Linked DNA regions of Caenorhabditis elegans. The protein of the gene in region 1 purifies or fractionates together with the protein of each later gene. This does not show direct contact. Each region holds a gene or a part of one and is shown in the gene's direction. Other genes may lie near its edges. The genes, in order: wrt-9 and abts-3.

What was found.
Region 2: the proteins of wrt-9 (region 1) and abts-3 fractionate together in Caenorhabditis elegans (co-fractionation; one large-scale study listed by BioGRID). This does not show direct contact.

What each region holds. Positions count from the first base shown.
Region 1 is NC_003284.9:1,570,113-1,586,347, forward strand, and holds the start of wrt-9 (WaRThog (hedgehog-like family)), read left to right. Parts: upstream 1-6,524; 5' UTR 6,525-6,525; coding exon 6,526-6,643; intron 6,644-7,241; coding exon 7,242-7,405; intron 7,406-14,759; coding exon 14,760-14,848; intron 14,849-15,335; coding exon 15,336-15,409; intron 15,410-16,235. Other genes in the region: H02F09.3 (VWFA domain-containing protein), read left to right, coding at 1-2,742; H02F09.2 (Peptidase_M10_C domain-containing protein), read left to right, coding at 3,108-3,164, 3,216-3,409, 3,457-3,534, 3,653-3,732, 3,780-3,898.
Region 2 is NC_003280.10:6,140,585-6,156,543, forward strand, and holds the start of abts-3 (Bicarbonate transporter-like transmembrane domain-containing protein), read left to right. Parts: upstream 1-6,546; 5' UTR 6,547-6,601; coding exon of another isoform or gene 6,602-7,154; 5' UTR 7,155-9,353; coding exon 9,354-10,158; intron 10,159-10,562; coding exon 10,563-10,672; intron 10,673-10,841; exon of another isoform or gene 10,842-10,909; intron 10,910-11,029; coding exon 11,030-11,082; exon of another isoform or gene 11,083-11,237; intron 11,238-12,056; coding exon 12,057-12,145; intron 12,146-12,513; coding exon 12,514-12,604; intron 12,605-12,939; coding exon 12,940-13,063; intron 13,064-13,204; coding exon 13,205-13,411; intron 13,412-13,456; coding exon 13,457-13,667; intron 13,668-13,711; coding exon 13,712-13,825; intron 13,826-13,873; coding exon 13,874-14,080; intron 14,081-14,350; coding exon 14,351-14,695; intron 14,696-14,795; coding exon 14,796-14,964; intron 14,965-15,012; coding exon 15,013-15,186; intron 15,187-15,238; coding exon 15,239-15,437; intron 15,438-15,959.

The sequences.
Region 1 (16,235 bases):
GTAGCGACGACTCCTACTACGGTAGTCACAACGCCATCCACAGTAGTAACAGTTCCGTCGACTGTAGTAACAGTTCCTACTACGGTGGTGACAAATCCAAGTACAGTAGTCACAGCGCCGTCCACAGTAGTAACCGTTCCTACTACGGTGATGACAAGTCGGTCTACAGTAATCACAACTCCAACGACTGGCGGATCAAGCCCATCTACTGCTGGAACAAGTTTAGCAAGCACCGCTGTAACAACGGAAACTTCTATCGGATCAAGCTCCACACCACTTCCCAGTCAGAGTACATCCCTGTCAATGAGTTCACTTTCAACATATACTCCATCCTCGAGCACCGCTGGAGCTACATCCCCTGCCACACAGCAATCAACTAAACCGACAATAGGAACAAGTATGAGCTCAGGACCTACAACAGTAGCACCTGGTGCTTCTACAGAGTCTACTGTGCTCCAATCATCTACTCCGTCTGGCACTACTGTGACTCTACCGTCCGGTTCTTCCACCGCGACAGCTGGAACTTCACCTCAAGCATCAACCGTGACTACCGTAACAGATATTTCTACAGTCAGTGGCTCTACAGTTACCTCCCAAACTGCAGAATCGTCTTTGAGCACGGAATCTCCAACATCCGCTGGCTCATCCATTTCGACAGTCAGTACAGTATCTTCTCAGCCATCAACGTACATCCCGGTATCATCAGCATCTTCCATTTACTCTACTTTGAGCGGAAGCACGGGATCTACAGCAAGTCCTGGAACAACAGAAAGCTCAGGATCGTCTACCAGTGGACCATCAACCATATCTGGATCGTCAGCCTCCACCGTCACAGGTTCCACGGTCACGGAGGCATCAACAATCAGTGGCTCAACGGAATCATCAACTATACCTGGAAGCACGGAATCAACCGTTTCCGAGGCGTCAACTGTGTCTGGTTCGTCGGTATCAACAGTCAGTGGAAGTACGGAATCAACATCAGCTGGAGCGTCAACAGTCTCTGGTAGCACGGGATCGACCGTAAGTGACTCATCAACAATCAGTGATTCGACAGGATCCACAAATGCTCCTGGAAGCACGGAATCAACTGTTACTGGATCATCAGTATCAACTGTCAGTGGTAGCACAGGATCAACTGGGCCTTCGACAATGAGCGCGTCGACAGGATCCACAAACACTCCTGGAAGCACTGAATCCACCATAACAGATGGATCAACTGTCAGTGGCAGCACTGGGTCAACCGGTTCCACAAATAATCCTGGAAGCACAGATTCCTCCACCACTGGTATTTCAACAGTATCTGGATCTTCTCTATCGACAATCAGTGGCAGCACTGGATCAACGGTCTCTGGATCTTCAGATATGACGGTCTCCACCGGATCCACAAGTTCTCCAGGTAGTACAGAATCAACGGTATCTGGAGCGTCAACAATGAGCCCGTCCACTGGATCCAGCGTGGAGACATCTACATCAGGCTCATCAGTGTCAACGGTTAGTCAGAGCACAAGTTCAAGTACTACCGGACAATCGACCGTGTCAGAGTCCTCAGTATCCACTGTTAGCTCAGAATCAACAATCAGTCAGAGCACTGGATCAACCACTACTGGCGAGTCCACGGTATTTGGCAGCACCGGATCAACGGCTACTGGATCATCAACGATGAGTGCTTCCACAGGATCCACTGATACCCCTGGCAGCACTGAATCAACCATCACGGGATCGACCGTCACTGGAGAATCAACCGTGTCTGGGTCGACGGGATCAACCATCACAGAAGGATCAACAATTTCTGAATCTACGATGACTACTGTCGGTGTAAGTACGGGATCAACCATCACCGGAGAATCTACCGTGTCAGGGTCGACGAGATCGACCGTTACCGGAGAATCCACGGTATCTGGATCAACGGAGTCTACTGTCAGTGGGAGCACAGAATCAACCCCCACTGTACCGTCAACCGTGTCAGGGTCGACGGGATCAACTGTTACTGGAGAATCAACCGTGTCTGGATCAACGGCATCTACTTCCAGTGGAAGTACTGGATCAAGCACAGAAGCAGGATCGACCGTCTCCGGTTCATCAGCATCAACTGTAACTAGTAGCACTGGATCAAGCACTAGTGGAGAATCTACGGTGTCAGGATCGACCGTATCTACTGTCAGCGGAAGTACGGGATCCACCATCACTGGAGAATCAACCGTTTCTGGCTCGACAGAATCTACCGTTACTGCGGAATCTACAGTTTCAGGATCATCCGTGTCAACTGTGAGTGGCAACACAGGATCAACCATCACTGGAGAATCAACCGTATCTGGGTCGACGGGATCGACTGGAGAATCCACAATTTTAGAATCATCCGTCTCAACTGTAAGTGTCAGCACAGGATCTACCATAACAGATGGATCAACTGCATCTAGATCTTCAGTATCAACCGTCAGTGCTAGCACAGAATCGACGGTTTCCGGGGGATCCAGCGCCTCGATAGGATCGACAAACACCCCTGATAGCACGGAATCCACAATTTCTGGATCAACGATCAGTGGCAGCACTGGATCAACGGAGTCATCAACAATGAGCGCAGGAACAGGCAGCACTGAAACTTCAACATCAGGAGGATCAACAGTGTCAGGATCATCTCTATCCACGTCTAGCACAGAATCATCGGGGTCATCATCCACACAACCACCATCAACAAGTACAGAGTTAACAGGCGCGAACAATAAATTTGGACATTCCATATAAATCTTTATCGATTCTGAAAGACTGACTTTCAAAATATTGTTTTTTTTCAGGATCGTCAGTGCCAACAACTTCCATAACAAGTTAGTTGCCAGCAAAACTTTGGACTAGAAACTCATAACAATGTGTCACTATTCGAGATTTAATGTCATTTTTTACAGGACGAGGGCTCCTGATAATTTATTGAAATAAATAATGTTACAAACTTTTTTCTCGTCTCGGAACATCACGTGTAGAATCATTCGATTTTCTCTAACAATTGATGAACCGTAGAATAGATATTAACTAGTCAGCTTTAGTCCAGCTAAAAATTTAGAATTTATAGTCTCAGAGCCTCAGTTTCAGAACCTACCGTAACCTGCCTTTTCATGTATGACACACAATCTTCTGATATCAGTCAAGAAGCTCTCACTACATATCAAACGGTAGGCATATTGAATTTTCGGAAAAAAAACTGGTAAACGTCTAATTTTCAGTACTACAATTTTGTCAGACTGATTTCGTCCAAATTAAATGACCGATCAATTTTGAGCGGAAATTTTGATCATTTTGGATACGGTCCCGGAGGCGAAGATCATGAAACTTATCAAATTGATGACTATGCAAATATGAACAGCATACCATTTCCGTTACATGCATCTGACACTGACATTGATCTTGATTTGAAAGAGTGAGCTAATAGGTTTTATAAATTGAAATGTTTATTTTTATGTTTAGTGTGGATGGGAGCATGGCTAGTGCAGGATGGTCATCAACTGTCAATGGTGAAACCTGCATGATTTTTATTTCTGCCGCGTGAGTTTTTTTTAAATTTTACAGAACGTCCTTTTTGTAAATTTAGTTCAAAGAAATTGTAATTTCAAATTTTTTAATAAGAAATTATGTTCCGATAATGATATAATTATTTTTCCAGGACAGGAACTGCCTACGATGGTACTACAATTAAGCCAACATATAATAATTTCAAAACAGTGATAGGCGTATTAGTTGGAGGTACTTGAACTATAGAAAAATATCACCTAGTAGATTTACAATTTCAGGAGCCACAAGCATTCCAGGACTGACTACAGGTACAAATGTGGTCACAGCAGATTCACTGAATGATTCCGATGCTGAAAATGTTGTGAACACGTTGCTGGGACTTCTTCTATCTTTGTAGATGTTAAATTATACCTATATTATACAACCTGTACATGATATGTATCGATAACAGAGCTTTTTGTTTTATAGATAAACATTGAATTGAAATGTGAAAAATGAATCTACGAAGAAATTTAAAGGTGAAGTAGCGCCAGTGGGGATTTTTTCTAAATACACGTATAATTTTCCAAAACGACCGAATATCATAAACATAATAAATAATAAAACACTCCAAAAAAGTTTTAGATTTTTTATAATTTCCGGTCAAAGTTTTTGGCAATTTGCCAGAAATTTGAAAAATATGAGTTTTTGAGGGCAAAAACTGAGTAAATGTCACTTTTTGACAGTAAATAAAAAATTTACTTTTTTTGAAAAGTTTTATTATGGTCTGTATTAGGTATTTCCTTGGCTTGTATTACCTTGGCACCATATGAGTAGTTTTTAACAGTTTTCCAACTAGCGCTATTCCACCTTTCACGTGGTGTCAGAGTGTCTCATTTCGGCTCGAACTACGTTGATCTACAAAAAATGTGGAAGTTGAGACACAGAGTTTCAACACAGAGTTCTCAACTGATTTGCATGGCTAAGAACGTGCTGACGTGACAAATGTTTGGGCAGAAAAATCTCGCATTTTTTGTAGATCAAACAGTAGTGATACAGCCTGGCCTTTAACAAATTGATTTCTAAAAGATGAAACGATAAATTTTTTAGCCTACCTTATTTTGGGTTTCAAAAATTTTTTTACGAGGTTTGGATCATCTTTCTTATTAACTTCTGGACTTGTGATTTTTTTTTTAATATTTGGAACGTTTCACTGCAAATTACATATTCCTAATATTCAAAATGTCAAAATTTGGAAGTACAGAGTATTATAATTTGTATTTTTTAGAAAATATCCTTGTTCAAGCATTTGCACCAGGGCTGTGCGGCAACCAGCAATTGCCGAAGTTGCCGAACCCAAAAAATTTCGGCAACCGACAACTTTTGATTGCCGAAACTTCGTCAACTTTTCGGCAACCGGCAACCTGTAACAGCCCTGTTCTGCACCATAATTTGTTTATTTTCAAAAAATTCTATTTTTGCTACTAAACCTACTCCAATTCCAATCCCCCTTCTCCCTCTCCAGTCCCCCAAATCTTCAACAAACGGAATCAGAAGCCCAAACGAGGAAGATAGTGAAAGATAGGAAAAGATACAAGGGGGTGGTGATAAACAGGAAGGTTGCAAGCTTGTTATTAGTCGCAATGCCTTTTTCTCTCATCCATATCCATACCAACAGTCCAAATGCTTGTCCCCCCTCCCCACGTCCCTCCTGCTTCATCATCTCCTTCTTCCCGAAACAGTAGCAGCAGCAGCAGCCTGTCTCTTTTTCTTTTCCTTTCCCCATCCCCCGCCTCCCCCATTTCCAACACAACCGTCGTCATCAAGATTAAGCCCTGTACGCTCCGCCCACTTTTGCATTCTTCTCCCAATTTTCGGCTTCTCTCTTCTTTCCCACAATGGAGCTAATTTTTTTGCGGCTTTTTTGAAATGTTTATAGTTTTCTCTTTATATTTTTGTTCCGGCTTTTTTTGCTACAAAAACAAACTAACAATATAATAATTACTTCAGCATGAATTCCATTTCTTGTTTCATCTAATCCTTTGCTTATGTATACTCAAATAATTCAGTTAAAAAGTTTGAGCATCTTTTAAACTTTTTAATTTTCTGGCATTTTTGGTATCTCGATTGAAAAGCTTGAACACCTGTTGTCTAAGCCTGAAACTTAATTTTCAAGTTAAAGAGTAAAGCTTGAAATGTAAATTTTGTGTAAGCCTAAAGCCCATGCTTGCAGCTGAAACTCGAAAAATCAAACTAAGCAGCAAACGTTTGAGACTAGAACACAGAATTCAAAACTACCGTTTGAGCTGAATTTCTAGGCCTGTACAACGGTCAATTATATAATTATATAGTTCAAATTTCAGACAACAACAAAAATTGAGAATTAGATAAGCCTAAGCCTGAAAATAACCTCAAATCTTAGCCTAAGCCTCAGCCTAAGCCTTAGCCAAAGCCTAAACCTAAGCCTGAGTCTGTTCCGATGCCTAAGCTTAAGCCTAAGCCTAAACCTTCATCTAAGTCAAAGCCTAAGCATAAGCCTACGTCTAAGCTGAAGCCGAAGCCTAAGCCTAAACCTAACTGAGTTTAAGCCAAAACCTCAGCCTAAGTCTAGGCCTAAGACTAAAAATAAGCCTAAGTCTGAGTTAAAGCCTGAGCGAAGACTAAACATAAGCCTAAGCCGCAGCATCAGCCTAATCAAAATCCTAAGCCTAAGCTTAAAACTCAGCGTAAGCCTGAGCCTAAGCCTAGCTCCAAAACGAGCTCCAACCTTCAGTTTGTCCTTTTTTGGCTAAACTGTAACCTTTAAGCAGGTGTTTAGCAAATTCTAAAATTCTTGTCCAAACCAAGTTCTGTCCAACAACCAAAGATTTCTTCAATTTTTTTTCTCTGCAAATTTTCACCAAAAAAAGTGTCATCAATTCATATTTCCATTCCATGTCTAGCCACAGCTAATTTTCTTGTCTCACCTCTGTCCACCGCTCTATTATTCATTATTTCCGTTGCACCCCCCCCCCCCCTTCCAAAAAAAACATTAGAAGTTGCAGAATGCGCCATCGAGCGTTCTCGTTCCAAATCGCCCTCGTTCTCGCCCTCCTGCAACCCTTTGGTGCCTCGTACTGTGGTTCAAATGGCGTGCCGTACAGTTTAGAAATCCTGTCTGATGGTTTGTGTTTGCTTTGACAAATAGAAGGTGTTACCATTCATAAAATGCTTTACGACTTATTTGATCTTGAAGAAAATTGGTTTTTTATCCAAAAATAAATTTTGCAACCCTCCACTTTAACTACAAATTCAAAAAAAAAAGTTTCTCAGATATTTTTCCAAAAATCTAAAATACGAGCTAAGTACAGAGGAGTTTTTTCAAAAAATGTTTTTTAAAGATTTCCCACTAATTTTTATTAAGGCAGGAATTAATAACTTTGTAAATTCCTGGAAAACAATTTTTTTTTTTTTTGGTGCTTCCAATCCTCAAACTTAAGGATTCAATTTTTAAGATTCTAATTTTTTTTTGAAATTTTAGGCAGAAAATTATCGATTTTTAATTTTCGTATTATGAATTTCTAATTCAATGTTGTTTGTTATAATTTTTACAGGAATTTTCTAAATTTTCTTCGAATAAAATTTAGTCCAAAAATTTTTATAAATAGATTTTTTTATTGGAAAAAATTTCGAACGATTTATGTTATTCCCAAAATTTCTAGTTTTTTCCAAACCCTATACAAACCATAAAATCTAGTATTATAACCAATTTTCCATTCCAGGCTCCCCGGTACTCGGATGCGCGCAGCCGACTTGTATGGCCGAGCCGCAGGAGGACGAGGAGGACAGCGTGTTCATTGCCAATACAGCTGGACAGGAAGATGGATTTTTCCGTGAAGGTGATAGGCAGAAGAAGAGCTATACGCAGAGTTATAAGCCTAAAGCGGTGAGTTTCTGAGGGAAAAATTTTGAAGAAAAAACAATTTTTTTTCGAAATTTTTTTCGAATTTTTTTCTACAAATTTATTTTCTAGATCAATTATCAACTGAATTTTAATGTTCTCAACGTATTTTTCCATATATTTTTTTCAATTCCTCCATCTCCAATTCCTCATTCCAAAACCCGTTATCCACAATCTAAATCCCCCAAACACAAATATTTCGCAATTTTTTCGCCGAAAATTTTCGCGCAAGCTATACGGTGATGGTATCTGCATAATTAATAGGGAAAAACAAAATATTTTTATTATTATTTTGAGATATTTTTGGAAGATAATTCTATGCGCAGGTGGTTTTTTGAAATGTATTATGTGTGTAATTTAAGACGGAGATCACTTGGTTGACTGGGGTTTTTTGAAAATTCGTAAAACTTGCTGGACTGTTTTGTAACCAACAAAATTATGAATAAATCAAAAAAAAACTGAATTTTTTTTTAAAGTTTTTGGTGCCATTTGCATTATTCCAGCTAGAATTTTTTTGAAAATTTAAATCGTAAAATAATTTCAAACTTTTCCAATTTTACAGAACTTTATTTTTTTTTAGAAAATTTATCAAAATTTGCCAATTTTTTCAGTTATGGAAAATGAACATAAAAACTCAAAAAATAATTTTTTTTCCAACTTCGCAAAACTTTTTAGACTTAGTTTTTTATCTAGCTAGTCTTATAGAAATGTTTAGAAAAGTTTTTATCAAAATTTTTATTTTTATCAATTTTTATCATTTTATGATTAAATATTTTTATCAAAAAATCTGAAAAAAAAATGTTAAAGGTTTTTTTCTAAAAATCTGACAAAAAACCAATAGACAATTTTTCTCTCCAATCAAATTTTTTTCGAAAAAAAAATTATAAAAATAGTGAAAAACTTTAACCATATTTTTCTAAATATCAATTTGTTTTTTGAAAATTAGTGTTCCAATTCCAATGACATCACCAAAAAACCCGTTCAAACTCCACACAATCGTTCTCATTATCCATGACCCTTCGGTCTAGATTTCTCCTGTTAAAAAATACAGTTTTCTATATCTCTTTCCTTTTTTACGCCAACTTTCCCCTCTCAAAACCGTTCGACCCTTCCCCCCCCCCCCCTCACCTACACATATACCCCTTAACCCCGTCTGCCAGCCCGTGGGAAACTTGGTACGTCTCTGTATTGGTGTGGGAAGAATATGGCCCCCGGCCGATTGAAGCTAATGAGACAGTTGGTTGTCGTGTTTTTATTACAAGTGTTTTCACTCTCTCTCTCTCTCTCCCCACACCGCCAACCAGTGTGTCTCTCCGCAACCGCCACGTTCCCTTTTACTCGACACGCGCGAGGGACAAAAGGGGGAAGGAATATGGGAGAGAGAGAGAGAGAAGACAATAAGGAAAAGTCTTTTGCGGATAACTGGTGGAAAAGAAAAGCTATCTTGATTAGCTGGCAACATGATGGGGAAGAGATACTTGAAGAATCAATACTAACGGAAATTGAGTAGTTGGTTCTCTGCGGGGCCAGGTGACCTCTGAAATAATTTATGTGGCTCCTCGATCTTCATAGAAAAGCCCTTATGCTTACTCAAGTGTTTCTGGTGAATTATAAGATAAATCGAGTTATAAAGTTTGGGTTATGCTGACTAGGGAACCGTCAGAAGGTGCCCATCGGACTTGCATATGAGATCTATGCCATTCGATAGTGCATGTCTTAAAACGGTTACTCGTGAATGTTTAGTGGCAAAACTCCAGAACCAAGCTCACGGCGGGCTCTCAAAAATTCTAAAATAGCACTTAAACGAAACATTGAAGGGCCAATTTTCCAATTTCACTTTGGTGGCTCATATCTCCGCGGATAATTTTTTTACAGGAAAGTCATCAACTAAAAAGTTGTTGATATTGTTGTATTGAACGAGTTTGTAATTGAAAGTTTTTTACCAAAAAATTTCTGTTTCAGATAAACGCGCGTGAAGTGCGGCAACTGTTGCTGTTATTTTTATGCTGTTATTGCTATTCTAATGCTTTTATCTCAAACAAAAAATTTTTTGGTAAAAAACTTTCAACTACAAACTTGTTCTTTACAACAATGTCAATTATTCGCGGAGATGTGATCTACCAAAGTGAATTTGGAAAATAACCTTCTGACGGTTCCCTAGTGAGAAAAACCATGTCGCAAATTTTAGTTAGTTTTCAGATTTTCTATTATTTCCAAAAACTCACAAGAGCACCCCGTTATTTTCTAAGATCATAACCATATGCTTGATCGATGCACCATGTTGCAAAATGTATGTGTAACTAGAATCCAATTCAGTATAGTACATTATAAGATCAGTGGAGTCTATAGATTACCCTGAGTAAATGAATACAATCAGAAATCAATTTGTAACTTGATCGATGCACCATGTTCAAAATTTAGTTGGATATAGTTCATAGTAGTTTGATAAGTTTTTGATGCGCATATTCGGGACGACCTAGTCTGAGAAATATTCCACAATTCCAGAAAATTCGGTAACTCTTTGACTGTGACGCTAAGCTCAGATTTTGAGCTCAGAGCAGAAACTTCAAAATTTTCAAAGTGCGGCCAGCTTGCTCCAATAGCTCACATAAATCGTCGCAACTTCTCATGGTGCACAGGGTTTAGGCCACTGTCAAGCTGACCACTCGGAGCTAGGCCTGTCATACAGGTCGACACCACGTGGCCCCTAATTCACATTCTATGTACAAGGAAAACAAGTCTATATCTTAGTTACCGCGAGAGATCGGAGCCCGGGAGTCACCACTTATCAGGCCCACTTGGAGCCCTGAATCAGAACTCAAATTACCCTGGTAATTCTTACATAAATCTGGAGCCAGAGAGCTTGGCTCAATCATACCTAAAACTCTAGTCAGACTTTTTTTTTCCAAAAAAGTAAAAAATGACACATCTATCCCGATTTCTTCGCCTGCTAACTAACTAATCTAGCGGAACGCTTGCAAATGTTTAATCCCGAAACCGCTTAGTTGGAGACAATTTTTTATGGGCGTGACACAAAACCGATTATCCTCTCGCCTTTTTTTTTGGCTGGCTAGCTGGATGGCTACAATCAAATGATCAAACACCGTGAAACGAGATTGAGTGTCAAGAAAGAGAGGAAAAAATGGGGGGAGACATTTTTTTAGGCAAACGTTTGAAAAAGTTTCTGAAATATGCAGTCACCCTTGATGTTAATGCACCATGTGAAAATTCATGAGACTTGAGATCTACTGTCTTATGAATTTTTGATTTTTCTTCACGCCCTCATACACTATACCAAATTATACCAAACTATACCAAATACACATATACCAAATTATCTGGAATTGTGGAATTTTACTCAAACTAGGCCGACCAGATTATGTAACATGGTGCATCGGTGGCCTTAAACTGAGAAACAACACCTATGGTGTACTTGATGTTTACCCGAACTAGATCCTACTGAACTTCGAACATGGTGCATCGATCAAGGCAAGGATCGATTTTTGATATATTATATTTTACTAGCTCAGGGTAATCTCTAGACTCTACTGATCTTATAATGTACTATAATGAATTGGATTCTAGCTGCACATGCATTTTGCAACTAGGTGCATCGACCAAACATATGGTTATGATCTTAGAAACTACGGGGTATTCTTGTGAGTTTTTGGAAATAATGGAAAATTTGAAATCTAACATAAATTTGCGGCATGGTTTTTCTCAACATAACCAAAACTTTCGAGAAGTTTGTAGTAGGTCATCCCAACTGTTCCGTTGAAATACTCATTGAATTCTTAAAGGTGGAGTAGCGCCAGTGGGGAAATTGTTAAAAACCACTCCTTCGGTCTCAAAATGACCAAATATCATGATAAAACTTTTCAAAAAATTTTTGATAATTTTTTATTTACTGTCAAAAAGTGGCAATTACTCAGTTTTTGCCACTCATAATATTGGAAGTCGACCAAAAAAAAAAGTTTTTTTCGACATTTTTTATGTTTTAATTTTGTTTAAATTATGTGTATTAAAACATGGTAGGGGTCGAAACATGCGGCATTTCTTTAAATTTCCTCAAAAGCTCGTATTTTTCAGAATTTTGGCAATTTGCCAAAACTTTGACCAGAAATTATGAAAAATTAGAAAAATTTTTGGAGTGTTTTTTGGAGTGTTTTGTGATATTCGGTTGTTTTGGATCATCATAAGTGCATTTAGACAAAATCCCCACTTGCGCTACTCCACCTTTAACATGGTGCATCGATGGGGGCACATTTCGACTTTTGTTCTGTAATGTTCATGTATACAATTTCTCGTATAATTTGGAATTTACTTATATTAGATCTATATGTTCTGTAAAACTTTTCCACTACAACCACCAATTTCCCAAACATTCTCAAAACTTCATTTCCTCCCACCACTTGCCACATCGAATTCCCATTTTCCCTTCATCTGCCCTTGCACTTGTAGCATCCCAGAATCCTGCAATCATCTCCGACAACAAATCGAACGAATTCCCGTCACGCAATTCAATCTTCATATTAATCCCCCCTTTTAAGCTGAAGTAAATTGGATTCGATGATGGATGAAAAAAACTGCGCAATTTGTACCAAAGTTCGACTCGGAGTAGTAGGAAAATGTTGCCAAAATGGTAGTAGACATTTCTAATTGCTTGCTTCCGCCCGCCTTGTCATTCACCTTCCGTGACGTGAATATTACGATGTGAGGAAAAAGTTGACAGGCCGGCGGGGGCAGGAAGTAGATAGAACACGTATTGTTGTCAGAAGAAGCCGTTGGCGAGGAGGTAGATATGGATATGGAGAGGGGGACACGGCGGATATTCTTGTTCTTTACGTAATCCGTGATGACTCATTGTTCACACTTACTACATAATACAAACGGGTTACTCAGCATAATGGTTAATAAGGAACCACAAACGTTAAAAGTTGTACAGGGGGAAAAGTAAGGGGTTCAGCGATGTACCCCAAAATTTGCTATAAGTTTGAAAATTTACATTGATTTTTTGTTTATTCAGGGTTACTAAAATTCAGCCTTAATATAAATATAGTTCAAAAACTGTTTTAAAAATGTTAGGCAGGATAGCGCAGTCGGTAGTGGTGGCCGTTACCAATCTGGAGGTCACGAGTTCAAGTCCGGCCTCATTCCTAGGTCCACCCAGCCTCTATTGGAAAGTGGAGCAATCCACGACTGAATTATCGGCCACAGTCCCCGGCTAGGATGTGGCTTAAATCATAGCCCAGTGGGAGCACCACCAGGCAGTGTACCTGACTCTCAGATCCGCAGTGCATAGCACTTGAAGAACGGATCTTCCTCCAATCCTTTTAAAAAAGTTTTTTGAGGCTATAAATTCCGAAGTTTGAGCGAAATTTATAGGATAGTCTTGAAAAAAGGTACCTACAAAAGTGAGATCAGCTCAATTTTATAGTAAGTTTTATATGAAAATGTCTGAAAATATACAGTTTTTCCCTGCTTTGAAAGTGGCTACAACTAGATTTTCCAGCCAAAAAGTAATTTGTGATCCCCTTGTTCCAATGCAAAACACTCAATTTATTTTGCCCTGAACTTTAACAGTTGACAGTTTTTGACAAAACCGAGTATAGTAGGCCTATGTAGGCTATGTAGGCTAAGTAGGCCCTAGTAGGCATCAAAATTTCCGCATGCCTTCCTTGTGCCTACGTGCCTTTAGGATATACCAATATCTTCAATTAAAAATGAACAATCCAGTTTTTCCAGAAGAACTGACTCCCGGTGAAATCCCAACCAAAAAAACTTCAAAAACAATTTTACTGTCTCCCCTCATCCCCCCTCGCTCTCTTTCACTTAACTTTCCATTCACAACAACAGAAAAAAAGTAAATGGGGGTCTAAAATGACACCTTCAGACTAATTACCTCGTAGTTTCACAGCAGGTAATATGGAAAGTATACCAAAAGAGGGGTGGAGGGGGCACTTGAAAGATCGGATTTTTTGTTCGAGGACCGGTCAAGTAGAGGAAATGAGGGGGAAATGAGGTATATTTTGGGTTTTTTGCCTGCCGGGGAGTTTTGGTGCTGGAAAAGCTTGTTCTGAATTTGTAGATTTAGAATCATTTTTTATAAAAGATTATTGTAGTGAAACGTTACAAATATTGTAACACGGTAAAACTACTGTAGTGGTACTGTAGAACTATTGAACGGGTGCCTTAGGGTTACTGACATGGTGCTGTCGGAGTAAAATAGTGGTTCAGCAAAAATTGCTCTACTGATACTGTAGGATTACTGTAGTGGTACGGTAGTGGTATGTACCATAAAATACTGAGTAACTGTGCAAAATACTACTGTAGTGGTACTATAGAACAAGCTAGAAAAACTGTATTTTTTTGGTGTTTTTTACTCGAAAACTGTTGTATCAAATTCCTAGTTTCTTTATATTTTTTTTTGGCAGTCTCAACATGAATTTTTAAAATAAAGTTTCACTTTTCCATCATTCCAAATTAATTCCTTCTTAATTTGACCCCAAAAATGACAAATATTCCCAATTAGCATCATCAAATTATCTCCCCCCCATACACAAAACGATTCCCATTTCTTTTCTCTGTTGAAAAAGGGAAGGCGGCGGCGGTGGCGGCAAAAAAAAAGCGAGGCGCCCAGCTTTCTCAGTTTTTGAAATCCGGCGGAGATAAGATCAGTCGCGTATCACGTTTATTCGATTAGGTCATTTCTTTTTCCATTCGATTTCTACTCGATTCATTCAGAATCGCGCGGCTGCGGAAGGAAATTGAATGGATTTGGAAGGAGGGGGGTTAAAATGATGCTCTACATCCTGAGCTTCGGTAAAATTGAGTACACTTGTAAGAAACTTGAAGCTTCATGCATATGACGTCATAAATGAGAAATTTGTTCATGGTGCATCAAGAAACTTTCTTAGAAAATTGAAAAATTTGTGAAGCGTGTTTAGTATAAAAAAGGATTTAAATTAAAGGATTAAAGGACAATCCGTTCTTCAAGTGCTATGCACTGCGGATCTGGGATTCAGGTACACTGCCTGGTGGTAATCCCTCTGGGCTGTGATTTAAGCCACGTCCTAGCCGGGGACTGTGGCCGATAATCCAGTCGTGGATTGCTCCACTTCCCAATAGAGGCTGGGTGAACCTAGGGGGTGAGGCCGGACTTGAACTCGTGACCTCCAGACTGCTAGTGGCCACCACTACCGACTGAGCTATCTGCCCCCCAGCCCCATTTAATATTATTCATTACTTTTTTAAAAACTAAATTCCTGTAATCTTGTCACCAGAAGGGGTATAAAGTAGACCATACAACCTTAAACCTTAAACTTTAAAAACTTTTCAGGAGTGTCCCGGCGAGTTCTCAGACTTTGCATGCACCAAAAAGAACCAATGGGTTGGTGGCATCGACTTCATCGATCATCCTAGACAACCGTAAGTTTTTTTTTTTGAAATTCAACGTGATGGACTAATTAATTTGGAGAGGGAAACGTATCAATGATCAAGATCAAAATGATGATTATGTCGTGTTCGGATGACATGAGACAAAAAAATCGGTTGATATGTATATGACAAATGTGTCTGTGGAATAGAATTTATAATTATAGACTAGAGTTAGAATCGTGAACCTAAGCCTGAAATTTTGACTGAGCTTGGGCCTGTGTTTGAATTTTGGCCTAAGCGGTCTAAGTGGGCTCGTACATTTTTGCCTTGGCTTAGGCTTTTATAAACTTAGGCTTCTACAATCCAAGGCTTAGGCTACTATAGTTCAGGACTTAGGCTTTCATGGTCCAAGGCTTTGGACTTAAGCTTAAACTTTCATAATCAAAGGCTTAGGCTTTAAATTTTTCAGGTGAGAGGTACACATTGTTCCCATAAACCTATTTTACTATATAAATCCTAAAATTTCCTCCTATTCCAGGCTGGTCCTCCAATGCTGCACATTCGAAGGGCTTCGCTTCTCGCAGGATGTCGGTGTCACCACCATCTCAGCAGGTGATTTCCGTTTGCAAATTTCCACATAAAACTAGTGACAAATTGGGGGCGGTGAAAAGTCATGATGTAGCGGATGATGAAAACTCATTTCTGACAATTGATATATGACTGTGGTTTAGGAAAGGGCAGGGGGAAACTAACTTGAAAACTGTGTAGGGATTTGGGGGAATTTCAAAATTTTTAAAATTTTGTAATCAAAAATGATTTCAATGGAAAAGTTTGACGGTATGTAGTTTGAAAATTTCAAAAAACTTTCAAAAAGTTAAAAAAACTTTGCCTTTGTAGTTTCTAGTCTATGACGTAAGACTGAAGAGCTACTGTTGGGAACTTGTAGTTTTGTTAGTACAGCTAGAATACGGTAGTTTTGCTACTGTAGCATTATAGGATTACTGTAGGAATACTGTGACATTACTATAGTAAGGGTACTGTAGGAGTACTGTAGGGATACTATGGAAGTTCTATGGCAGAGGTACTGTAATGATATGGTTGGAGTACTGTGGAAGTTCTATGGTAGAAATACTGTAATGGTACGGTAGGAATAATGTAGGGCTACTTTAGAAATACTGTGGAAGTTCTATGGTAAGGGCACTGTAGTGATACGGTAGGAGTACTTTTGAAGTTCTACGGTAGAGGTACTGTAGTGATATGGTTGAAGTACTGTTAAAGTTCTACGGTAGAGGTACTGTAATCGTACGGTATTAATAATTTAGGGCAACTGTAGGGATACTGTGGAAGTTTTATGGTAGAGGTACTGTAATGGTAAGATAGAAATACTGTAAAGCTGCTATAGGGATACTGTAGAAGTTCTACTGTACTGTACTGTAGA
Region 2 (15,959 bases), on another chromosome or scaffold:
TCACTCATTCCTCTTCTTCTCCCTCTACTTATTCTAAATCCTTTCCTTCATCGTGCTCTTCACTATTTTTCTCCGTTTGCCATTGTACGCAAAGCAGCGCCCGTAAGAAGCACGAAAAGCGGAAAAAATGAGCAAAGAAAAAGCACGGCGGTGAACAGGAAAGCTGCGATGGAAAAATGCAAATTTTTTCCGACGACGTCGCTGACAACACTACCAATATTTTCAGAATTTCGTGTATTTTAAGAAAAATGAAAATTGAGTTTAACATAAGTTGAAAACTCCAACAATTCTTCAACTCAAAGTTGAGTTCTAATCCGATATTCCATTTTAAGTATGATCCTCGTTTTTTTATGACTTTTATTTTCTTCGGAATGTCATGTTCCCGGCTCTGATGAGAATTAGACATATACTTTCTCCTTCCACATCCCTCACAAAAAGAGAACAAAAAAGCGAAGAAAAAGAAAGAATTAAATTAATTTTCGCGCGCATTTTATAGTCGGTATTATATCTCCTGTAGAAGTCTTGTGAAAATGAGAAGATGGCAAAAAGAGGCAGTAAAATTCCGGGGAAGCAGCAAAAATAAATATCAAATTAGCGAGCCCGGACCACTATTTTCCTATTTTTCTATTAGTTCTAGCCTTAATTGAGAAACCCATTCGACGCTGGGTATTGCCAGCATTGATCCGGAATTTCTTAAAATACTGATTATTTTTGTACTTTACTGAGTTTTGAGCTATTTTCAGAACAATTATTTGTTAGAGTACAAGTTACCAGTTTTAGAGTTATCTGAAACACCAAAGTACTAGCCAATGAAAATATTAAATGAAAATTTAATTGATCGGGAGGTTCAAAAGTGCACAATTGTTGGATGGCTCAAATGTGTTTCATCGGCATGTGATGATGATGATGAGTTAGCCGTAGAGAGGTGGTGGTTTCATTTTGGACGGGTACAAGTTTTCGAGAATTTTTCTTTTTCTTTCTTTTCCTCTCTCATTCTTTTCACACGTCATTTTATTTTATTGCGGCGGCGGCTCACACTTCGAGCCCTCAAGCTCCTGGGATCTGTCTCATTCATCGAATTTTAATTGTTGGGCAATAGTACTCGTTGGATGTTGTTTTTCCTGTCTCTGCAATGTTTCAAGCATTTGAACTTTTTTGCCTTTGATTCAGCACGTATTCATTCCTCGGTGCTCTTCTTCGGAAATATGACACCGTGATGGGAATCGGAGCGGCCGGAATCCCCCCGACACTTTCACGTTTTGTTTCATTCATCTTCTCCATCCTTAGATAAAAAAACATCAAGATGTAACAGATTTTGTGTTGATCATTTGATACCTAGAATTTACCAAAAAAAAAAGAGTCAAGATTCGAGTATCATAAATTTGGAAATTGTTTAAAACATCCTCCAAAGCGCTAAAATTTCGAAATATCAAAGTAAAACTATTCAGCAATTTTTTGAAATTTGTTTTAAATAATACAGTCGACAAGTGAACGAAAACCCAATTTTGACTTATTACAAGTTCTGAATCTCACTGAAACTATAATATGCTTTCAATCTGATATTAATAAATGCCAAAAAAAAGTGATTCTCATCTGAGGTTATTGAAGTTCCTGAATCTACTTCTATTTAAAAAAGCAAGACTGAACTTCTGATCTGATTGCTGACGGGGCAATCTAAATTTCTGACAAGTAACTTGCCCACACGGAACATGTTGAATAATCTCTCCCGATCGGAAAATCATTGTCTGTTCCGCTTACATCATTTAGAAGAATCTGTCATTCCGAATCAGCAGTAATATATGTTTCCATTAAGTTCTCAATGCAAGGCTCATTGAGCTTCTCTACTTCCTCTCTCTCTTATAGATTCTTCTCCTATCTCTACACCTGTTCATGTGTCCCCATTCATTTCTTCCTCAGATTCTCGTTCAATCACTTTCTTCTCTTTCAATCTACCTACCAATTCGCAGTCCATCAGTTCGTCTCCCCCCTTTTGATGTACTTTGGCCACGAGTAATTTACCAAATTTTCCATGGGTCCGAAGTTAGCAACAATGTCGTAGTTGTATGCTGGTCGCCCTCCTTGCCAATTCAATTGGGAGGCTACGAAAGCTCTGAATCTGAGAATGAAGAAAACGACGAGCGAATAGAAGAAACCCGTTTTTCCTTTTTTATGTCCATCCACAACCTCCTGACTTTTTGTAGACAGCGACAAAAAATCTTTTGAAACGGGAAAGAAAGGTTAGGTTTCTTTCGAAATATTAAATCGGCGCTTTTAACTCCATCAACTTTTTTTCTCTATGTCACTTACTCTCTCACATCATCCTCTGTGTTTCAGAGCCACTCACACTATTTGACAGCCAATTAGTTTTCAAACGATTGATTGTTTCAATATATCTGTTTTTTGTGATGAACTGAAGCTTTGAGCTAGAAAATCAGGTTCGCTAGGATCAAGACATCTGGACAAAAAAGACGGGTGATAATTAGAAAATGTTAGTGTTTGTTGAAGGAATTTGAGAGATACTGGCGGTCCCGAACGACATGTGTTCGCACTTTTTATTTTCTTTTCTCTGTGACCTGCTTTCTTAGTTTTTGAATTTTAAATATGAGCTCGTATACTTTAATTCCTTCTGTTTTTTTTTTCAACCGTACCATCTTTAATTATGTTAAAAATTAAACCTGTATTATACTGCTCGTAGAGCTGGCGAAGCCAAACATTTTTGTAATAATACCGCACACTGTCAGCTCATGAAATATTTTCCAAAAACATTTAATACTTGGTTAGCGAGAGGATACGATTAGATCAGGTTCCAAAACGAGTCAAAACCAACATCTTCGTCCAAACTGAAATCTTCTTTCAGTCAAGAAAAGTTGCACATCTAGAGCAGTTGAACACCGAGTTTTTGATAAAGTGCACGTCACACTACGAATATTCTCTCCCTTAGACGTTCGCCTGTACCTTGTCGGATTCGTCACATGAGTAGAACATGTCGAATTCCACATCTCACTCTCTTTTCTTTTCTATATTCGACAGCTTCTCCCTCAGGGACACATCGGACACTTCTGATGAATTTCGCCTCCGCCGAGCCGACATATGAGCACATATTTCGTTGAAGGAGCCCTACACTTCATTTCGACTTTCTTTTTACCCCGGAAACCAAGTTTTTGATTTTTTTGGTTCTTTTTTTTGCAAAATGATGTATGTGTCCCCACTGTTTCCTAGCTAATTTGCTTTGGAGCGGTTTTTGAACTTTTTCCTTTTGGTGTACTTCAAGAAGTCCATTGGAATAGAAGAGCTAGGGGCGTTTTTTTCAATTGAGAACCATAAATCTAAGGAAATAAAATGCGGTTTAGAATTTGAGAATACGAATAAAATTCAGAAGATCAGTCCCTCATATTACCTTTACTAACTCAGTTAACATGTGCCTCCCTCTCCTCCGCCGGCTCGTAACCCGTCAATCAGTTTCATTTGACAAGAAGGCATCTGAAAAATAATAAAAAACCGAAGATGTTGGCTTGCGATGGAGAAGAAGTTCAAGTAGGGGATGTAAATGTGATGCTTTCTGACTGAGACTCTACTGATGAGTCGACATCTTCCGACCGGTCTTCTTGAAGAGAGAGGCCGCTTCGCACATACATCCAATTATTTGCAACAAGGTCTTCTTCGTCTTCTCCGGTCGACTAGTGTATATGTGTGTGAGCAAGAATCCGCTTCACCCACGCAACTTGCTCGAAGAGCATCCCTATATCCGCAACTTGTTTCAACGCCGTTACCTCGTCTTTTCCGTTCCATCAGTCGCCGCATTTTTTCTTCTCTCATCACACTGTTTCGATTTTCATTCACTCTGCAAATGTAAATATTCAGGCGCGGGACATCCCACCGCCGTTTCTTCTATCTCATGTGTGTGCTCTTTATTCTGTTTCTCTATTCTGCCGCCCCGTTTTCACGCATTTTCTTCTTCTTTTACGCTTTCCATCCTTCTCATCCACGCTGAAATCTCCGTTTTCCTCCTCCCGTTTTCTTCGTTGGCTCATTCTATTTGCTAGATTAGTCACAGGTCGTTCGAGACCAACATCCATTCAGATTCTGGTTTTAGATCTTTGTTCTTTAAAAAGTACTAGTTGGACCCCGTACTGTTCTAGATGCTACAATTTTCTGAACGTTACTTGGCAAAATGTCAAATTCCAAGAGGATAGAGACTAATTTGAAAATCACTGACTTTGATAAAAATATAAAATTTGGTTACCGTATTTTTCCTATCATTTGCACCCCAACAGCTCTACTTCAACAGCTTACATCTCGATTGCATTTGGCTTTAGAATTTTTTTTTTCAATTATGTATAAAAATATAGAGATATACATATTTTAAACGCATTTTTAGTGTTGTAAATGTTTTGATAAGAGCAAAGCCAACCGAATAGTGAGCGCTCAAATTAGAGCCAAGGGGTTGCAAGATTAAAGAAAAAAAATTTATCTGAAGAATCTGGAAAATCCTAGTAGTCCTTTTGTTTCCTGGTTAAAAACGTTATTGGGTTCTCCAAATTTCCCATTGCAAGCAAAATATTCTAGTTTAAAATCTATGGGCTTGCAAATTCAATTTATGCTCCAACCTAATAATAGTCATCTAGTTGCTATTCCTTTCGATGATCCATCAGATCCATTTTCTGAAAAAGAAAACAAGCAGCATTGTACTAACAAATAGAGAAGTCTCTCTTCTCTTATTTCTTATGTGGAGCAGCTACCTCATAACTTTTTCAAGAGAAAACACGTGTGTCTACCAGTTTGTTTCATACTATTTTTTTTCTATTGTTCTTATCCTTCACAGGCATCCTCTCTAAAAGAACGGCTTTATGCAAAAGCACAGAAGAAGAAAAACGAAGAATAAGCATAAGAGGAAAAGAAATAACAATCTGTTTTCTAAGCGCTCGTCCGTATTTTTTGTGCTGTTTGCCACCCTCGCCTCCCACCACAAGATCCCATCCGTATGCCCGATGTTCGTTCTTTCGTTTTCCGCTTCCATTTTTAAATCTTATTTTGGTAGTATGTGTGTTTGTATGAGAACACTGGATTTCAAAAAAAAAACGGCGCCACAGGGTGGCTGAATGCCTTTTGAAAGGGACTCAGCTGCCATCGAAAACGAACTCAGTTTGACGGAGGACTCTCCGAGATTTAGGAGCAGCTCTTGCACTTCTTCCAATTTCGAGATAAGCCCTTTTGCGGCGGCATTGAACCAGCAAAAAAGGAAATGGAGTTATCTTCAGAATCCATTTTTCTCTGATTTGCCAAGATCAATTTCCTTTTTGTTGGTTTTTTTTGCAGAAAACTGCAAAAAAAAAATGCACGGTGAGCTGTGAAATTAAACCAGAAGCTCTATGTTAGGTTGGAGACAGCATACGAATCTTCCATCAAATGTTGAAGCTTAGAATTTTGGTTTTAAACACCTTTCACCAGTCTCACTAAAAAGTTGCATAGATTTCAATTAAATTATCTTTCAAAATTTTTTTCGGAAAACCAAAAAAAAAATATTTTGTTCAAACCAATGAGACAATTGTTTGAAGTTGTGACTCTGACATATATGTAAATCTACATCGATATAATTTAATTTAATGATTTTTTTTAATTTATAAAATTACAGTTAAAAAAGTGAAATTTTCAGTTGCTACCTAAAAATCGGAAGTTGAAAAAAAATTATTTTTTCCATGATTTTTGTGTATATGTTGTTCGAGCTTGCGACATTGTTCCAAATTTATTGAAAATCCTAAATTTTTTCGATAATCTTGATATCCCCTATTTCTAAAAATTTCCGAGTTCACTTGAAACAGCAATCCTCTTTGACCTCCGATCTCATTGTCATCACATCCACCACACATCCTGCTCTCAGTTTTCTTGACCTCTAATCAATATCTTCAGATCATTTTTCTATTCTCTTTTTCTTTTCCTCTATCTATCTGTTATCTTTATCTTCAACTCTATCATTTGTAAAACGAGTCGGCTCATTCATCACTTCAAAGTAACTTTGCACCACCGTTCTACCCATTTCCATTATCTACGAGTTGTCCCAGTTATTTCATCCATATCTAGTAAACGGAAGCTCACATTGTGTATGTTTTGTGCTCTTTTTCTGCGATGCCGCCACCCGCGCTGGGAAGATATTGCTTTCTATTGCTTGCTTCTTGCATCCACCCTCACATTTATAATTGCTCCGCCTCCTCTATTCTCCACCCTCGTTTGCTCTTTAGGCTTTCCAAGCAAAAAAATGTGGAGAAGCAAAAGCGGAAATGGGAGTGTGGAACTACAGTATGAACTTCAAATACCAAGATTATGTAAACGTGATCTGATGATTTAGTCGGAACGAGATAGCTCTATTCAATTATCTTCTTATTTTCTTATTTTAGATTTGAATTGAGAATCAAGAATACAATTTGCATTTAGAGTGATTCACATCCCAATTTGAATAATCTCTTTATTCTGATTTATTATAAATTCCTTGTCTTCTTCTTTTCTTCAAATACTTCCTTCTACATATCTTCTCATGATTACTGTAACTTCAGACGCATATCTAAACTGTTCATGACTATGACTCAACAGTAGATCATCAGAAGTCATGACAACACCGGATTCGGATAGCAACGCCGATCCATTTGGTGGCTCAGATCCTCCTTCAGCACCACTCACATTCCGTGCCCCGCCTGTCTCAAACTGTGCTAAATCAATAATCGACCGGAAGTTGAGAAAATATGCATCCGAAACATCGTTTGCAACTGAAACCGCTAGTGAATCAAGTCTCGAACGAGAAGTTCCAAGTAGATCAAGAGTTTTCACAGTAAAACCAGTTGGAACAAGAACACCTGGTGGTATTGTCTTAACGAATGGTGCAAGTAATAGTAATAGTACAAATAACGGCGGAGTTCATCGGAGCAGAAGAAGACACGATTCGGATGCAAGTGGATCAGCTAATTCAGAAGCCACCGTAGCTTCTGGAGCCAATACACCAAGAAGATGTCATTTTAGAAGACCAAAATCAACAAGTGAAATGCATCAATCGTGTACTTCTGCAACAATTCATTCACTGGAAAGTCATCACAATGAGGAACGGAGAGCTAGTCACGTTTATATGATTGATGATGATTCTGTTCATGAATTTGAAGATGATGACGGTAAGTAAAGGTTTTGATGATCTACCAGGCTTTCAGTAAAACTTCAAACTGGAGTTTAAATGTCTGTTGGCTCTAAACTATAGCTATAGTAAGAGATGAATTTATTGAATACAAATTTCATTGTTTCTATTAAAACGGTTCTTATATTAAAAATCGATTTCAATATTGTTGTAATTAACTCTGTTAGTAAACTGCTTGATATTTAGAATATGCAATTCTTCATCATTATTGACGCGTACTTTTAAAGAATCCACTAGACTTAAAGTGATATACTTTGCTGCTAAATAAAAGTTGAGACTAACGATCTAGAATTAAGATCTTAATGATATTTTGATCCATTTTCATTCTTCTGGCACCTATTAAATGTCAACTCTCCGCAGGTTAACCACAAATACATTGTCCAAAAATGCATGCCTTTTTCATTGCAATCTAAAATTGTTCACGGGGGACCCAAGCAGTCAACCAACCTGCTTTTTCATCCTCTTCCTTCCTCTTTCTTCTATTATCTGCAGTGTTTTTATTTATTTCGTGGCGTCCGTCGTGTCCACGTATTTTTTCTTTGAAAACATGCTTGGCACCTAAGCTCCGCGGTTCCACAATGGTTCAGCGATTCACTTCTTGTGCTCATGACACTTTCATGAGATATGAGTGAAAAAGAAAGAAAGAAAGATATTCACTGTTCAGTAAAAACACAGAGGAAACAGAAAGAAAAAGGAGAAGAAGTTAAAAAAAAAGAGAGTAAGAAGAGAAGAAGCTCGTGTCATCGCAAATTGAATTTCGGCTCAAGAAACGCTGTGAAGACGTCGCCGCGGCATGGAGGCGCACAATTCAGATGACATGATGAGTTGTAGTATGGAGACATAATTTGCGTTCACTTCAACTTATGGAAACTGATGCTTCATTCTTTTTTCTTGAAGATGTGACACGAAATAGAGAAAGGAGAAGATCCTACAGCAACAAAAAAGCGAGAAGATTCGGTAATCAAATTGGCTCGTCGGACAGATTGTGCCCCGCGGGGGATGCGGCTCTTTGAACTCTTGAGATGACATCCTATTTCTTTTTCGGAAAAAAATTGAGAAGATTATTCATAGGAATTCTATTTCTGACGAAAATACGGATTGATATTGGATTGAAAAAGATTTAAATTGGAAAATAGAGGTCTAGTGTGTAAATGTGTTGACAAATTCTCTTATCCTATCTCGGAATTTGTCTGTAACTTCTAACTGAAATTTCATCTTGGAAAATAATATTTACAAAACTTTGCTGATTTTTCTGAAATGTCTCATCCGAGCCCTGAAGTTTGATAAATATAGATCTAAGTTTAACACTAAAGAGAGAAAATTAGGACAAATCTTCAGTAAAAATTCGCAAACTCTTGCATACACTTGATCCAATATTTCCTCAAATATCAATCCTAGAGTCTTCACTTTAATCTAATAATTTAACCGAAATGTCAAATGAAATGATCTCGGGTCGAAAAAATCGAATGTTCCAGCATCATTGTTCTCACAATTTCTACGTAATACTACAGTAGTCTCTTCGTTGAATTAAAATTGTGTCAAAAATAAGATTCAAAGAATTGAGCCACTTTGCACCAATGACTTCATTTTTCTATTCTTGCAAAAAACAACGAGTGATTCAACATCTAGTTATTATTAGAACACATCATTTTTCTTATATCCGAGCACTTCAATATCCACTTATCCCCCGTAAAAAACTTGTTCAGCATGTTCGGCTGTGCTCTTCTTTTTGTACTTCCGTGCACACTTCCTTCTGAAAAAGAGTAATCATCAAAGGCTAAAAATGCGCACGACGGCGGATCGTCTCTGAATAAAAAAGGAAACGAGAAAGGAAAGAAGAAGCAGTCCCGAAATCCGATTCATCAATCCCATAATATGCGGCGCCGGCGGTTCTTCTCCCCCTTCGTTTTTCCTTCTTCTTCTTGTCGTCAACGACTCTACTGAGTAGTGAATGGAATGGGCATGAAGTAAAAAAGGGGCAGGCTGAAGAAAAAAGAGAGCGCTGAGAGAGAATCTAAAAGTGGTTTGTGCTGCTGCTGCTTCTGCTGCTCGTGAAGCTCCCTAGCTCCGCCCCAAAAGGGAAGCAGTGCCCCCTAGGCCAGTCCATCGTGGACGGCTCCTTGACGTAGTCCAATATTCTCAATTTCTTCATTAATATTATTATTATTATTACTTACTAATGAATGTCACCAATGTGAAGGTGTTCGTTTCGAATGGAAGTGTTCGAAAAGGATCAGACGTCGACTCGTACCGCACACCACTCGATTTTGCCAGCTGCAGTTCGGGCATTTCAGAAGAATACCCTCTGCTTCTGAAAAATGGTGACGATGGAATCAGTCAGGGAGGTATTTATATTAAGAAACCAGATCCCAGGCAACGAGTGATGGCTAGAAGAACATCACATACTCTTTTGTATGTTCCTGAACAACGACGAATATCAAATGTTTCTGGAAACTCGGTTGCATCTTGCCCACCCGGTACAGTACAAACTTCTGGTGAGGAAGATGACAAAGTACCCCCTGCTCCATCATTTTCTCTTCATCTTAGTCCAGTTGGTACAAGAAGAAAATCTGTTCAAACGGGAGCACCTGCCATTGGGTTTCGTCCATTGAAAACATTTGAACGACGTGCGAGTCAGCCTACACTACAGTTTGAGGCTAAAAAAGCAACAATGAACAGTGGTACAAGTTCAGGTGGAACCGCAGGAGGAACAGTCAATTTAATTAATACAGCTCAATCGACAACTATTTCTCTACCTCCTGATAAAGCTAAAATGCTAACAAAAAGAGTATCCTGGTTATCAATGAAGTCGTTGCAACAAGAGGATCCAAAGACTCGAAGATCAAGTGCATGTGGCTCACCACGTGGTGGATCTCCAAGTCGAACTCTTTCCCAATATGGCTCCCAACCATTTTTAGCAGAAGATCGTGATTTTGACAGTGATACTCCGCCATTGGATACTCTCAGTTGGAGTAATGCTGGAAGTATGTGTGTTTTTGTTTTAGTTAACATGTTTTTATAGGAATATTTTTCTTTCAATGTTTCTCTCTTTAGCTTCAATGCTATTTTGTTTTGTTTTGTTGCGCTTAAAAAACTCATACAATTTTATTGGGTTGCATAGACAAAAAGGGGACAAACTACTGGACCCTCCCACCCCGGCAAGGGGTCCACTTCGCTTCCTACATAAAAAGTTTGGGGTCTGCGACTGCGGTTTCTCTGCAGCAATGTTAAAGAAAAAGGAAGCCGGCGCTTTAAAGAAGACCAATTTCGGCTGATTGAAGAGACCAGATGAGGCCGAAGCGTTGGAAGGGTGAAAAATAAGTGTTTATAATGTATCTGAAATCAGAAATATTAAGAAAAACACTCAATTAATTGTTCCGTGTTGCAGATGAATATGACAATGTGACCTTGATGTACGCAAAACATGAAAAGATTCCGATGAAAGATTTTGGATCCGAGATCAGAGCAACAATGGACATTGATCATCTGTTGAATAAAGTGAGCTTGAAAAAGTTTTGAATAAGCAGCTGAAATGTTTATGATGAATTTTATAATCTAGAGAGACCGGAAATTCTTTTTTCTTTTGACTCATTAGTTACAACAAAGGGCACCCAATTTTTGGTCGTTGTCTCCCACAATGGGCTTCTAAATATGGCTTTTGAGAAGTTAAAAGTTATGTTTAAAGTACCTATCCTTTGGGAATAGATCACTTTTAACGTGACAGCTGTAATTTTTAAATTTGAATATTCTGGATAAATCCCGTTCTTTGAAACCCAAAAACTGAAATTCTTAAAGAATAAATAAATCTATGAAAACATCTATATGTGCATTAGAAAAAGCAATTTATTTTTTCAGGCGGTTCTTCTACTCGATCTTCAGGAGACGAGTCTCGAAGAGATTTTTGCCAAGTGAGTATTATTGTGTTCAGAAGCTTTTAAATAAGCTTCAGAAAGGCTTGTTCATCATCATAAGGATAAGTCTGAGTTTGATGGGCAAACGAAATAAAAGAGTGGGATAGAATATGAAAATGGGAGTTGGATGCCAACAGCTTCCCTTTTTTTTCTCTAACAGAGTTTGTGTTGGTTTTTTGATGAATAATTAATGGAGAAGAAAAATGATCGAGTGGAGGAGGAGGGGATAGGCCCTTTCTCATATGTCTAGCGAAAAGAGCAACTTCTGACGATGATTTTTGAGTTGACGGGATACAGATCTTTTGTATTTGGAATATTTGATAATTTTAGAAGTAATGAGTATCGTTGATTTTTTCAAATGGGATTTTTACTAATAAAACAATATTTTAATTTTCCAGAATTTTGAAGTCAAAAATTAACTGATATACTTTCATAGCGATTAATTCATAGTGCCTACTAATATTAATTCATAGTGCCTACTGTGATAATTTTGTGATAACCGTACTCTTGAGTTTAGTTTTGATTTTGCATGAGTAAAATGTTTGTGGTTTTTTTAGACAGTGTTCTTCAAAAAAATTTATTTGAGAAATCCAACAAAGCTACAACGATGTTTGATTTATTATCCACAATAAAATTTGACAATCCGTCCGAAAAATAAATTATTTGTAGACGTCGCCAGAATCAGCTTCAAATTTAAATTTAGAATCCATTCAGAAGTCTGAAACTAGAGCTGAAAAAATGCAAGTGAACAAAAGGATTATCAATTATTTTTTCTTGTGTTCTTTCTCCCCTCTCTTTTCTAACTTGTTGTTGTTTTGAGAGGAAGGAAGTGTGCGCTTTTCTGGAGACGACAATGATGATGATGATCGTCGTTTTCTTGAGAAGTCAAAAAAAGAAACAAAAATGGGGGAATCTTGGGACCAAAACAACCAAAAACGAATAACTTGAAGAAATGATTTGTATCTTTTCAGAATCATTCATGAAATGGATATTCAAGAACCAGAATTTACAAGTGAACAAGTGAGAAGTGTACTTTTCACACAAGACGCTGGAAATCAGTGTAAGTGGGATTGAATGGAGCTTGGGAAAACATGCAAACAAGCAGATTATTCGGCGAAAAAAAATGTTGAATACATTTGCACAAATTTCATCAAAAAGTATAAGTACACAAGTACAACAATTATTATTTTAGAAATGAATTCCATACTCCAAAATTATGTACAAAACTGACCAATTCTAGAGTATAGAAAACATACTTTATATTTTCAGTACAAAACACCTGAAACCGGGAATGTGAACGTAAATTCCCTAATTGTCCTGATAATATGATTTTTCAACTTTTAATTTTATTATTTTCACGATGGCCACAAACAATTTTTAGATATCAAAGAAACATTAGTTGATGATCCTTAATTTAATAATTTTCAGTTCATATTCTGTCTCGAACAGTTCAATCAATATGTACCACTGGATCAGTTGGCGGAAGTTTCGATTACGATCAAACGTGGATTTGTGCATTGTGAGTCTGTTTTTGGTCTCAATTTCCCTTTTTGTTGGCCAAAGTAATTTGCATTCAATTAATACCAGATTCACTTTGTTTTTCTCCTCACAGAATAAGAGGAAGTTTTCTCGGGCTCAAATTGATGAAAGAGAGGGAAGACCCTCCGGTTTTCTCTTTTTTTACATCACAGGTTTTTTTTCTCTCTCTTCACTTTCCCCTTTAAATTCGATTTTGCAATGCATTAGCAATCAGAGCAGACAGAGAAGGAAAAATGAAGGAAATGGAAACAAAATTTTTAAGGGAACATTTTAGGAACCGCAATTTGATTGATGTGAGAAAACAAATATTTTCAGATGTATGCTAAACACTGTTCAACATCGTCATGTTGCTATTGCTCGTCTCTCTCATCCAACAAATTTGGGTAGAACTATGCAAGATCTTCGATTTATCATTATTGTGATTGCACCAAGCAGGGCGGTAAGTTTTGAAACTTTAGAGCTCGAAATGTAGATCATTTGAAAAAAACCTAACATGAATATCAAAAATTCCGTTTAAAGTCTAACAACTTTTTTATTATGATAATGTTATTTTACTCATTTAAAAAGTTCTATTTTCCAGAAAGGAACAAAAACTGCACTGGAAACGACACGAACCTTTGCCACACTTTTTGCTGACATGGAGATCCGTCAACGATTGGTGATGGCACAAAGTGTTGAACAGTTTAGATCAACTCTTCTATCAGCAGCAAAAGAATTGGCAATGGATCAGAATCAATGGAGGGAACGGAAATCATCGATTCATTTGAGTCATGCAAAAGAGCAGATTGTTAGCAATTTCAACATTTACCCTATTTGCAAATTTAAATTTCAGTTTGGCCCAGAAGCTTGGTATCCATTTCGAGGACTGGTTGAAGAGTTCAAGCGACGTCTCGCAATATATCCATCAGATTATCTTGATGGTATTCGTGGACATAAAACAGTCCAAAAATTGTTCTCTACTGTGGTTTTCTTGTATTTTGCGTGTCTTTTACCTGCAATTGCATTCGGTGTGCTCAATGATGATAATACAAAAGGAGCTATTAGTAAGTTTTTGCTGAAATAATCCCACGGAAAATATTATTTTCAGATGTAAGAAAAGTGATAATTGCTCAAGCAATCGGTGGAATCTTCTTTTCTCTTTTCGGTGGTCAACCAATGATTATACTATTAACAACAGTGCCTTTAGCAATTTATATAAAAGGTGAGATTTACAAATTCATATTAAAAGTAACAATTCTGTTATTTTAAGTGATATTCAAAATATCTCAAGAACTTGGTTATGACTTTCTGGCAATGTACGCGTGTGTCGGGCTGTTTTGTCAAATGTTTTTGATACTTTACTCGGCGACCGAGCTGTGCAGTTTAATGAAATTCGCAACAAGGTCTGCCGAGGAAATGTTTTCACTCTTCATAGCTATCGCATTCACGGTCGAATCTATACGGGCAATACACAACAGTGAGTCTTTTTTACAATGCATAAATTTAACTTTTTACTTTGTCTGAATTTTTCTTTATTTTCCCTATTCGAATTGCGTTCATACAATTTTCAATTAGTCATTTTGAGAGCATTTTTGGCAAAAAATGATCGGCTCCAGTTTTTTCCCGAAAATTTCATATTGAAAATTTTTTAATTTTTCAAAGTATTAAGTATTCGATTTTTAAAAATTAAAGCTTTGAAATCCTATTCATTACTTTAGACACCAAATTTCAAGATTAAATATTCCAGGTTTCAAAAAGAACTACAACGATTGTGACACATCGGCCATATCAATGAAAGCAGCTAGGACAGCACTAAACGCCTTCAAAAACGGTTCGAACGCAGACAGTATTGTAGGAAATATCACAAGCAGTATGAGCATCGGAGATACGGGAAGTCTCTGTCGAAGAGACACATCAATTCTCTATATGCTTCTCATGTTTGGAACACTTTGGCTTGGACTATTCTTGTACAATTTTCGAAAAACTCCATATTTGACAAGGTCTCGACGCGAATGGCTTGCGGATTATGCACTTCCAGCATCAGTTCTCATTATGTCATTCACTGGATCGTACGCTTTCTCAGATATTGAGAGTAAGTTTTTTGTTTTCTGTAAAAATGAATTTCCTGTTCTTATGAATCAGAATGAGAAAAACTTTAATAATTTTTTGACATAATTCTGTTGTTATTTCAGAAGATCGATTCAATCTTCGTTTCGAGTTCCCCTTGATTCAAATGGCTGACGTAACTTCACTGCCACCATCCGGATATTTTGTGTGCCTTCTTCTTGGATTCTCCTTGTCCTTTTTATTTTTTATTGATCAAAATATTACTTCGGCAATTGTAAATAACAATCAGAATAAGTAAGTTACAAGTTTTCATTTTCCACTTTAAAACATGTATGTTTTTAGACTTAAAAAGGGAACATCTCACAACTTGGATCTTTTCGTTGTTGCTCTACTCAACATGTTCTTATCGGTTTTTGGTCTTCCTTGGATGCACGGAGCCCTCCCACACTCGCCTCTTCATCTCAGAGCCTTGGCTGATGTTGAGGAAAGGGTTTCTCAAGGACATGTTCATGAAGTGTAAGTGTCTATTTTCTTCAAACTTCGCCTAAATTTGTTTTTTTTTTTTCAGAATAATGAATGTTCGTGAGACTCGTCTCGCTTCTCTCATTGCTCATGTTATGATTCTTGTTTCAATGTTCTTCCTGATTCCGTATCCACTTCAACTCATCCCAACATCTGTTCTACATGGTCTTTTCCTATACATGGCACTCACGTCGTTGTCTGGAAATGAGATGTTTGAACGATTACTTCTATTGATAACTGAACAGGTAATATATTCAATAAAATTTCATAAGTCAAACGATAATTCAAAAATTCGTGAACATCATTTTTCCGGTACCTGATTTGTACAATAGATGGTAAAAGAAAGTCCTTTCTATATATTGAACAATCAATTTGATCTATCATACTTTTTTTAAATTAGTCTCTACAGATGATGTAATCGAATTGTTATGATACCACCAAATATAATCTTAAAACATTAAAAAAAAATGTTAGACAATTTTTTTTTATTTACAGTCGAAAAAAAGAAAGTAACAGCTTCCACCTATCATAATTTAAAAAGTCGTCCAAAAAAAGTTTCATGATTTTCATATTTAATTTTGTTTTTATTATACATGTGCATTCGAACATTGTAGGAAGTCGAGTCTGCAGCAACGTTCGAAATTCCTAAAAAATTCCAATTTTTTGTTGATAATTTTGATATTATGGATCTTCAAAATTGTTGAATTATTGAGATGCATAAAATATTTTGAAATAGAATGAGTCACACGGAGATTTTACAGTTTCAT